Oryzias latipes: one gene and its partner. The protein of the gene in region 1 interacts with the protein of each later gene in a biochemical or structural test. Links are inferred from orthologs where the notes say so. Each region holds a gene or a part of one and is shown in the gene's direction. Other genes may lie near its edges.

What was found. The genes of interacting proteins can lie anywhere in the genome.
Region 2: the proteins of venom prothrombin activator oscutarin-C non-catalytic subunit (region 1) and pros1 form a complex in vitro, tested with the Homo sapiens proteins (2 studies listed by BioGRID). The link is inferred for Oryzias latipes from reciprocal best matches to the Homo sapiens genes F5 and PROS1.

The regions. Positions count from the first base shown.
Region 1 is NC_019879.2:11,790,136-11,795,075, reverse strand, and holds the start of venom prothrombin activator oscutarin-C non-catalytic subunit, read left to right. Parts: upstream 1-1,925; 5' UTR 1,926-1,976; coding exon 1,977-2,137; intron 2,138-2,459; coding exon 2,460-2,542; intron 2,543-3,156; coding exon 3,157-3,279; intron 3,280-4,940. UniProt on the Homo sapiens protein: Central regulator of hemostasis. It serves as a critical cofactor for the prothrombinase activity of factor Xa that results in the activation of prothrombin to thrombin.
Region 2 is NC_019861.2:16,511,203-16,516,099, reverse strand, and holds the start of pros1 (vitamin K-dependent protein S), read left to right. Parts: upstream 1-1,558; 5' UTR 1,559-1,731; coding exon 1,732-1,810; intron 1,811-2,358; coding exon 2,359-2,516; intron 2,517-2,597; coding exon 2,598-2,622; intron 2,623-2,697; coding exon 2,698-2,781; intron 2,782-2,870; coding exon 2,871-2,993; intron 2,994-3,387; coding exon 3,388-3,513; intron 3,514-4,232; coding exon 4,233-4,361; intron 4,362-4,629; coding exon 4,630-4,870; intron 4,871-4,897. UniProt on the Homo sapiens protein: Anticoagulant plasma protein; it is a cofactor to activated protein C in the degradation of coagulation factors Va and VIIIa. It helps to prevent coagulation and stimulating fibrinolysis.

The DNA.
Region 1 (4,940 bases):
AATTCAATTACGATTGCATCCACTAGCTAAAGAAATCAAATACTCTTTAAAAGTATTTTACCCATCACTGCTTCAGTTGAGAAATAGGCAGAGTATGAATATGTCTAAACATCACCTAAATCTACAGCTTCCTGTCACACCTTAAAGGCCCACTCTGATCATCTTTTGATCTATCGTAAAAGGGTTTCCAGTGGTCTTTTAATTATGATTATCCCGTTTTTAGCACAAATCAAAAACCTGTTTCGTTTTCTAGGAGATACAGTAGTTTCTGCAGAGCGACAGGAGTTCATCAGAAATTTACTTCTGAGTTGTGGGCCAGATAGTTGGCACAGAAGTAAGCCTCGGCTGACATCCCATTATCCCTTTGTCTATTATACTATCTCTCCCACTTGCTTACACCGCCTCACAATCCCAATCAAACATTAGTGGTGCAACAAAAATGGTGAACAATATTGGAGTTATCCAGTTGTACAGTTTTGAGCCAGATGCCAGCTTAGATGAGGAAAATTAAGATGTTAATGTATCTAATTTGTCTGCAAGTGGATGCATCAGAATGGAGCGGAGCAGGGAGACTTTGGCCTGCCCATTTCACTTGCTGAGTCACGAAAAAGAGTATTTTCAAACAGCATTTTCTCGTCTGCTCCTGATTCATCTCAACTTGAATAAAAAAAAAATACTCAGAAAAGTGGTAAAGAAAATTATGATTAAATTGCATTTCAGCATATTTCTTTATTCAAATCATTGTGAATCAGGAGAAGACAAAAAAAATGCTGTTTGAATAAGCCTGTAGCAGTGACATAGGTGCTAAGATCAGCAGGCCACAAGCTCCTTGATCCACAGCATTTGGATGCATCTACTTGTAGACGACTAGCTCCATGTTCGTCTTCATTTTCCTCATTGGCTCAAAACTATACACCTGTGCTCCTCTGATGCAAACCTTTCGTCCCTCCACTGTTGGACCTAACATTAAACCTGTGGAGACAGAGCCAATCGCTGCCCCAACCCGCTTGAACACTGCCCCAACACCCAGTGTTTAAAAAATCACTAAAAACTAATCTTTTTAAAAATTACTTTTAATCTTAAATCTGTCATTTTTATGTTTTTAGTTTAATTGTATTAGCTCTTGTTTTTATTGACTGTGTTTTACTCACGTGTTGTACAACATTTTTGTGTGCCATTTAAAGCGCTGTACAAATAACATTCATTATTATTAATTTATTGTTATTATTATAAGCTAGCAGGAGAAAGTGTAAACAAATCATGATGGGAAAAAAGGGAAAGCTTACTCCAGGCCAACAGTCCCAATCACCGCCCACACATTTCTGATAATCTCCTGCTGCTCCGCAGAAAGTATCTCCTAGAAATCGACACAGGTTTTTTGATTTTGGCTAAAAACGTCATAATCATAATTAAAAGACCTCTGGGAATGCTTTAACAATATGTCTAAAGATTATCAGAGTGGGACTTTAACTGCCTCATCTTCAACATTAGTCTTGGTGTTGATCTCCAACATCAGAACTGCAGCAACTTCACTGTGTTCAGGAGATGGATAGATGGATGCATGGATGCATTAAATATGTGTGTTACCTGAGAAAACTTTGAGGTCTGGTGTTTGTTCTTCCTTCATTGATCTTGAAGTATTGAGAAATACAAACTATTTGAATTACGGGATGTTTTTCTCATTGATTCTCCAGAGACATTATGGGGTTGAAAGAATTTATACGTTTTTTTTATTACTCATTTCCACATTTCTTAAGAGATTTGCCCAAACCCGAAGGCATAATTCATCATTTAATTAAAAAAAAGCACACTATCTAATTATAAAAGGGAAACAAGGCAGTCGCACAGTTCATTGCCCTGGGACACAACTGTCTAACCCACGTGTGTTGGTTTGTGTGGAGCAGTCACAGATAAAGCAGAGAGTGAAGCGTTTTGTCAGATCGCAGCTTCACACTCAGTCAGAAAAGTTCCCAGATATGGGGCTCTGTTCCTGGGCAGGAGCTCATCATCTGCTGCCAGTCCTGGTTCTTGTGTCAGCACTACATGTCAAAGCTGAACAGAATCAAGCGAAGGAGAGGCACTACTACATTGCTGCTGAGGAAATTGACTGGAGTTACTCCGGCAATGGCACAAACAGGTGAGTTAACCTTGAAATAGATCATGTCATCTTTTACTTCAACTACTCAGCTAGAATATTATATCTTTTTTAAATTTGACGAAAAGACGTCTCTGCTGCGTTTACATTTATTCATGAAAAAATATTTTCAATTGTTTTAATCAGACGATGGTTACAATTCGATTGGGAAAAACTGAACAGTCTGTTTTTGTTGCTTTGTTTGCCATTTGCAGCCTGTTTCTTAAATATTTTTATGATAGCACAAAAGGATAACACATTGTGTGGGGGTGGGGTGTCTGTACAAGTACATTCTGCAAATATCTGTTTCTGTGCTCTTCCTCAGGTTTAATCCCATCTACAAAAAAGTGGTCTTTCGGGAGTATGACAAAGACTTCCGAAAAGCTAAGCCTCATCCATCATGGCTAGGTTAGTATTCCCTGATGTTGATGTTAGCTCGGTTTATCTGGATTCCTTCTTAAAGAAACATGTATACATATCTACAGGAGATGTCTATGCATGAGGACCTCTTCTGGGGTTTGCATTTTATACCTGTGTGTTGATTGCATTGTTCTATAGGACCCTGGCATAACTGGCATGCATGCCATATTGATTTGAACCTCAGATTTGAGGTTAATTATGATATAGACATACTTGTATAGTCATTGGTTTGTCAAAGAACAAATAATTGGGTGTACTAGGGGGTCCAAAAAGCATTGGTTTGACACCATAATGATGCTTCAGATTCAGAAGAAATACCAGTTGGGTCCAAATCCAGTCCCTACGTTGCATCTGAGTTGATGCAAAGTGAAATAGTAAAGAAGAAAGAACCACTAACATTGGCTACATTTTAAAAATATTCATTTATATCAGGGAAGAATTAGGAGAGAAAGTAAAGCTATGGAAGAGATGATAGAATTCCTTTTGGCTGATCAACAATTGTAGATTTGACCACAACAACTATATTAATGGCGGAATGTCCATTTGAGGTTGTACCGATAAGTCATGATGGATAGTTGCTTTCAAATAAACTTCCTCCACAGGCTTACTTGGACCAACGCTGCGAGCTGAGGAGGGAGAGACGATTGTCGTCACTTTCAGAAACAGGGCCAATGGTCCATACAGCCTCCACTCCCATGGCGTGAATTATGGGAAACAATCTGAAGGTAGGCAGCTCTTAACCCTTGTGCCATCCTGGATACTTTACCATTGGGAGTTGGGTCATCTAGACCCACTAGACAGTGCGCTGAACCGTTTTTCTTCAATGATTTGTGATCTTCACTGGTGTCCATGGATTACATGAAATCTTTCCACCTTTATCCACCTTTGTCATGGTAGGAAGAACACGTCAATGTAAGGGTGGGGTCATCTAAGATAGCACAAGGGTTAATCAAGCCACACATTCCTCTGGCATAACTATTAAAACAGCTACAGCACGGCCTGTTAGGGTCATGGTGTGTGTATACTCATGATGTTCCTCGTTTTACAGCAAACAACTTTGTTTGTCTTTCTCTAAAAGATTAACTAGGACAGACAAGGCACCAAAGCAAAAAGTTCTGAAGTCCAACAGGAAGGATTGCTAAGCCTTTGAAAATATTTATCTCAGTATGTAAGGAGTGACTCATGGATTTTGGAAGTTGAGGGCTCCTTAATTAAATAAAAACGTAAATAAATATTGGATTTTTGTAGAGTAATTGTTTATAAACCTTTGTTTTTATTTCATTGATGAGATGTGATTAGTCGATTGTCTTCTAAATGCAATGGGACTTTATTTGACAGAAAGAAAGATAATTGAACCATGGGATCATTGAAATAAGAATAATAAGACATTGTTGTTGTTTTTTGGTTCTTTGGTTTCATGTATTTCTAAATATTTCCAGGTACGGGTCGCATACTTTCTGGATTTAATAAAAAATCATCATGTCCTTACCATAGGGGCATTTCATAAAACACAGAAAATGGTTAAGCCAGGATTAAGGACTTATCTTGGACAGAGAGGAAAAATAAGAAGTTGATCAGTGTGAACTATTGACAGTATAGAGAAATGGACTGAGTAACCCATCCCCCCCGTCAGACCAAACAGGAAGTACCCGCAGGTTCCAAGAAGCAATGATCTCATAGACTTTTTATAGACAAATAAACAGCTATTACTATTTGTCAGAATAGTCATTCTTGCTCTGACTCCTTTTTTTTAACATGTTCTTGTTAATCCAAATTTTTTTCATGTTTTTTTTCTGTAGTTCAAGTTATTCAAGTTTTAAAATGACCAATCAAATGCCTCAATCAAAGTATGTGGTCTCAGGTCATATGTTCAAAACATTTGATTAACAAATTCTCACAAGCCTGCTTTGAGTGGTAGGCGTGTGGACTTCCAACTAGCTCACTCCTGGTTGGCAAGAGTGGTTGCCATGAAACGATGACTAATACAGACTCAGAGAAATCACTGCTTACTGACAACGTTTGGCTCCAAAATGGCAACCGAATTGACTTTATTTTGTTGAAACCAGAACTGAGCTATTTTCTATGGGTGACATCACACTCACTTCGTCCATCTCTCACATACAGTACAGTCAATGGTGCAAACATCACTGACTGTATTTTGTAATTAAAGCTAGAGATTTTCCTGGAACAGTTTATTTTTGCAAAACATTTTTAGACTTTATGACTATTTAGCTGCTACTGTCTGCACAAAGTCTTCTTTTTAAATAAGTACTTTGTAGCTTCCTCTTCCTAGCAGGATTTGGACATCCACTCAAATGACAGAAAGAAGACCTTTAAATAAAATGTTTTAATCCGTAACTGATCTACTCTGACCCTCAAGAGCCAC
Region 2 (4,897 bases), on another chromosome or scaffold:
TGCAGAAAGGTTTACAGAATTTTAAAGCTGCACAAGAAAAAAATTAAATATAGATAAAGTGTCATATTTCTCAGTCTAATTTGGAGGAGTTGTTTTGTGCTTTTTGATTTCAGTTTCCACTAAGTAAATTAAGGAAAGTCCATTTTTGTGTTAATTTCATTCATAATTAAACTGGGGCATCATGTCACTCCTCATCCCACCAAAATAAATATTTTTTTTCTCAGATTAACTGCTACATTAAAATGCCCTCATGCGTTTGCCTCACACATACAATAAATACGGACCTTGAATTAAAAAATAACATTTATTTACATGATGCTGTGCTCACTTCACTTAACGTTTATATTACAACTTCATTCATTCATTTCATTCATTCATTCATTTATTTGTTCCTTTCATGAAAATTATTGATTGTCCAATATGTTTACATGTTTGTCTTACAATATTGAACATTTTTATGATTAGATTGGAGCAGAATTGAAGAATACAATTCGTATAATTGTCTGCTCCCTTTTAAACATTGCATCATATTTACATTACTCACACCATCACCTGTGCTCAGATTTTACCATATACAGTTCAAATGAACACAGTAATTACTTTCCATTCATTTAGCAGATACATTCCAAACATTCCATTCAACAATCAAGTTTGTACAAACTAATTTGTTTTGCTTTATAAATCCGTTTAAATTGAATAATATTTTGACAACTTTTTAACTGATTCTCCTGGGAGTTCCACATTTTTACCCCTGCCATAGACAAACACTTTTGCTTTAGTGTTGTTCGAGCAATCTGTTGTTTGAGATCAAATTTTCTCCTATGATTTTCATCTCCTGTGGTCAAAATAAAAAGCTTTTCTAAGTCTTCAGGTAAATCTATGTTTCTGGCTTTAAACATAACTAATAAGGTCTGCAATTTGATTACATCTTTAAGTTTTAATAAACCTGACTTAATGAAAAGTTCATTTGTGTGATCTCTAAATTTAGCTTTGTGAATAATTCGAATAGCTCTCTTTTGTAATAGAATTAAGAGCATTATATTAGTTTCATAAGTATTTCCCCACTCTTCAATACAATATGTAAAATAAGGTAAAACTAAAGAGCAACGCAACATGTGCATAAAATGACAGGGTAAATAAATTTGGATTTGTTCAAAACAAAAAGGCTCTTGGCTACTTTATTTTTTACATTAAATATGTGAGATTTCCATGTTAATTTGTCATCAAACATAACCCCCAAAAATTTAAATTCAGACACCTGTTCTATGTTTATGTAGTCAATGGACAAAATCACTTGTTTTTTCTTTATTACCAAACACCATAAACTTTGTTTTTGTTAGATTCAAAGATAGTTTATTGTAGTCAAACCACATTTTGAGTTTTATCATTTCCATTTCAATACTTTTAGCTAAGTTGACTTCTAAATGTCTTATAACAGTGATTTCTGCAGCAATTCATTTTTAACGAATGGGGCATGTAGATTTTCCATGGTCCTCCTGTGCTGTATTGTATTTGATAAACCCATTTTCTGCATGAGTTCAGCCTCGCTGAGTAAACAAAAGCCAGAAGAGTGTGTCAGCAGCGCTCTCTAGCCGCCTTCAGTCCCGGTTCTTCCCCTCCTGCGAAAACAGTTTCGGGGGAAAAAAACAGAAAAGTTTGTTTTGGTTTTTCCTACATCGGACCTAGACTCAGCCAGTCTTCCAGCAGATATAAATTAGGAACGGCTCAGCAATGCCCGTACCACGTAGGATTCTGGGTAGAGCTTTGGCATTTTTCGTGTTGCTTGTGACGTTCGCCGATGCTCATCGATGTAAGTATGTTTGGGATTCTAAAAGTTTGCGAAAACAGCTGTCACAGTTGGATGAAATGATTAAGGCCCTATCAGGTCTCAAATGAGGTCACTTGGGAGGATTTGGCCGCCTTGTTACGGCGTGAATCAAAGCAAGATGAGGTGCTTTAGTAACAAACCGGGGGTTAACTTCTGGGAAATAACGGTTTCGCAATGAGCTCTGTTCAGGCCAATTCATCTGAGAGCAATTAGGCTGGTGGCATGAAAGCACCACCATCGTATGGAGTTAATTCAGTCTCAATAATCAGAAATGCACACAACCGGTTTTACAAATGCACACGCTCCGATTCACAAATGTCATTTTATGCAAACGTGAAAAATAAATTCGGAAATACACACCCTGTGTTTCACAAACACACAGATTGTGTTTCACAAATGCACACTAAATGTTTTACAAATGCACAATAACTCCATACCATCGAGACGAGTCTTCACATTTCAAATTGTTTTCAAAAAAAGTTTGCACAACAGTAATGTGAAGTAAGAAAGTATCTGCATGTGCATCCCAGTCCTGAGCCAAAACACAGCCTCGCAGTTCCTAAGGAGGCACAGGAGGGCCAACTCTGGGTTTGAGGAGACCAAGGCGGGCAACTTGGAAAGGGAGTGCATAGAGGAGCTATGCAACAAGGAGGAGGCCAGGGAGATCTTTGAGAACCAGCCTGAGACGGTGAAAACCTAGTTTACAAAAACCTTCAAGCTGAATCAGTGCTCCAGAGGATTGATTATAGTCTGCTGTTCTTTCTTTTAGGAATACTTCTACCCCAAATATGTTGGTATGTTGGCAAGTTCTACCAGATTTGATGATGTATCTTCTCCATAAACTCATCAAACTGGACCTTATCTTCTAGTGTGTCTGGGTTCCCACCGAGTTGGCATCAGCAATGGGAACTCGGGGTCAGACATCCCATCAAACCTTCGCACCTGTGTTAAGGGTGAGGGGCAGAATCTGAACCAAAAATCATGCTGGTTTGCTGATGTGATGCTTCCTCTTCAACCCGTTTAATTTCCTGTTTCTAACCAGAAATCAGTAACCAGTGCACCCCGTTTCCATGCTACAAGGAGGGTTCAGAGGGCTGTGTTGACGGCCAGGCTTCCTTCACATGCGTGTGTAAACCGGGCTGGAAGGGGCGGCTCTGTGAATATGGTAAATTGTGTTGCCTTTTTAATGTTGTCAAAATGAGATTCTATATGTATGGAAAGGGATTCGTGCAATAGAGGAAAAAAAAAAGGGCCAAAAAGAATTCTGAATTTTTTCTCACAATTGTAACTTTAATTTCACAATTCTGAATTTAATCTCAGAAATATAACTTTAATCTAAGAATTCTGAATTAAGTTTTAGAATTTTTACTTTAATCACAGAATTCCAATTTTCTTCAGAATTTAAACTTTTTGAGAAAAAATTAGGATTTAAAATTAAAATTAAAAAGTTAGAATTATTTTTGCCCTTTATGTTCTTTTTTCTCTCCAAGGCCCTAATCCTCTTCTGTATATGATATCCTGGCAGGAGTGCCTGACCTGCTTTTGCGTTGACTTTGCAGACATTGACGAATGTTCCGATCCAGATTTTCCAGCTGGATGCAAACACAAATGCAACAACATCCCCGGAAGTTTCTACTGCATGTGCGATGAAGGCTACTTCCTGAATGATAAAATCAACTGTGTGGGTAAGATGGCATGGAGTGGTGTAATAAATTCAGTCCCTCATTGAGGGCTCAGATAACTTAATTTTCTCAGCTGTGGAGCAAAACTGAAGACCTTTGAAACTGCGTTTCAAAGACTCGTGACAGATATTTCTGTCCGGATGATTCAGTTTTGCTCCACAGCTGAGAAAACATACTCCGATCACTGCACGCTCCAAAACACAGCCTCTGTCCCCTCAGCTGCTGACCTCCAGCAAACCTAAAATTTGACCTGAGATTACTCGTATGACAACAGAAAGTTGACAATTTCTCTTTTTTTTTTCATTAAAAGTTAATTTCTATCATTTGTAGCTGTTTGTCTGTTGGATCCGTGTCTGTATTCTCGTGCGTCCTACTTTGTGTGGGTAGATCTTTGTTTGTCTTTTAGAGTTCAGTACAAAGTCTTCAAAAACATGCACTCTGTTAGTTTGAGGAAGATGCTAGTCATTTGTCATTTTTTCATATTTCAAGGCTTGAGTTATCACAGATTTTAGGTATTTGGTATTTAAATGAAGCTATAAGTGCATCTACTTGTATTTTTTGCATTCAATTTAATTGTTTTTCTGGTTTGAATCTGTTCTGATACTACAGGTCTTCGTAAACTGTTTACTTATGTCTGATGTGCCTTTTTCCACAAAATAGCTTCATATTTGCAGTCCTAACAGAGGCCCGTTTGTACATACATTGTGTCCCTTGTGTTTCAGACATCAACGAATGTTTGTTGTATCGAAGTATCTGTGAAGAGCCAGCCAAATGCGTCAACACGCCTGGCATGTACGAGTGTCAATGTCCGCCGGGGTTTAAGTATAACTTCACCTCAAAGTCCTGCGATGGTGAGGCTCTACCAAATCCCCCAAACACACCTGAAACAAGGATGCATCCATACAATCCATTGAACGACTTCTGCACCCTTGAAACCCTGCAGACCCATTAACAAGCTCTTTGCATGACAAAATCAGTCCAGCTTGCTTCTGCTGAGAGACATGTAAATCTTGTAATGTGATCAGTGGGCTCCTTATTTCCAAATGTAATCTGCATCATCTTAACACAAGTGAAAGTTAATTGTGAATTCTTGACCCTTTGTTTTCTTGTCTGCTGCAGATGTGAATGAGTGTGAGCGCGTTTTGTGTGATGGGACATGTGTGAACACAGTAGGCAGCTACACGTGCATCTGCGATGGTCGCGCAGGATTGCGCCTGGCGGTGGATGACCGATACTGCGAGACAATTCCCATCTGCGTGGACCTGAACGACTACAAACATCCTGAGATGCTTTACCTGGGGGAGCTGTTTGCGGGTCGTCCCGTCATCTTGCTTCATTTCCGCCTACCTGAAAACACAAAGTAGGATTGCAATGTAGTTCTCTACTT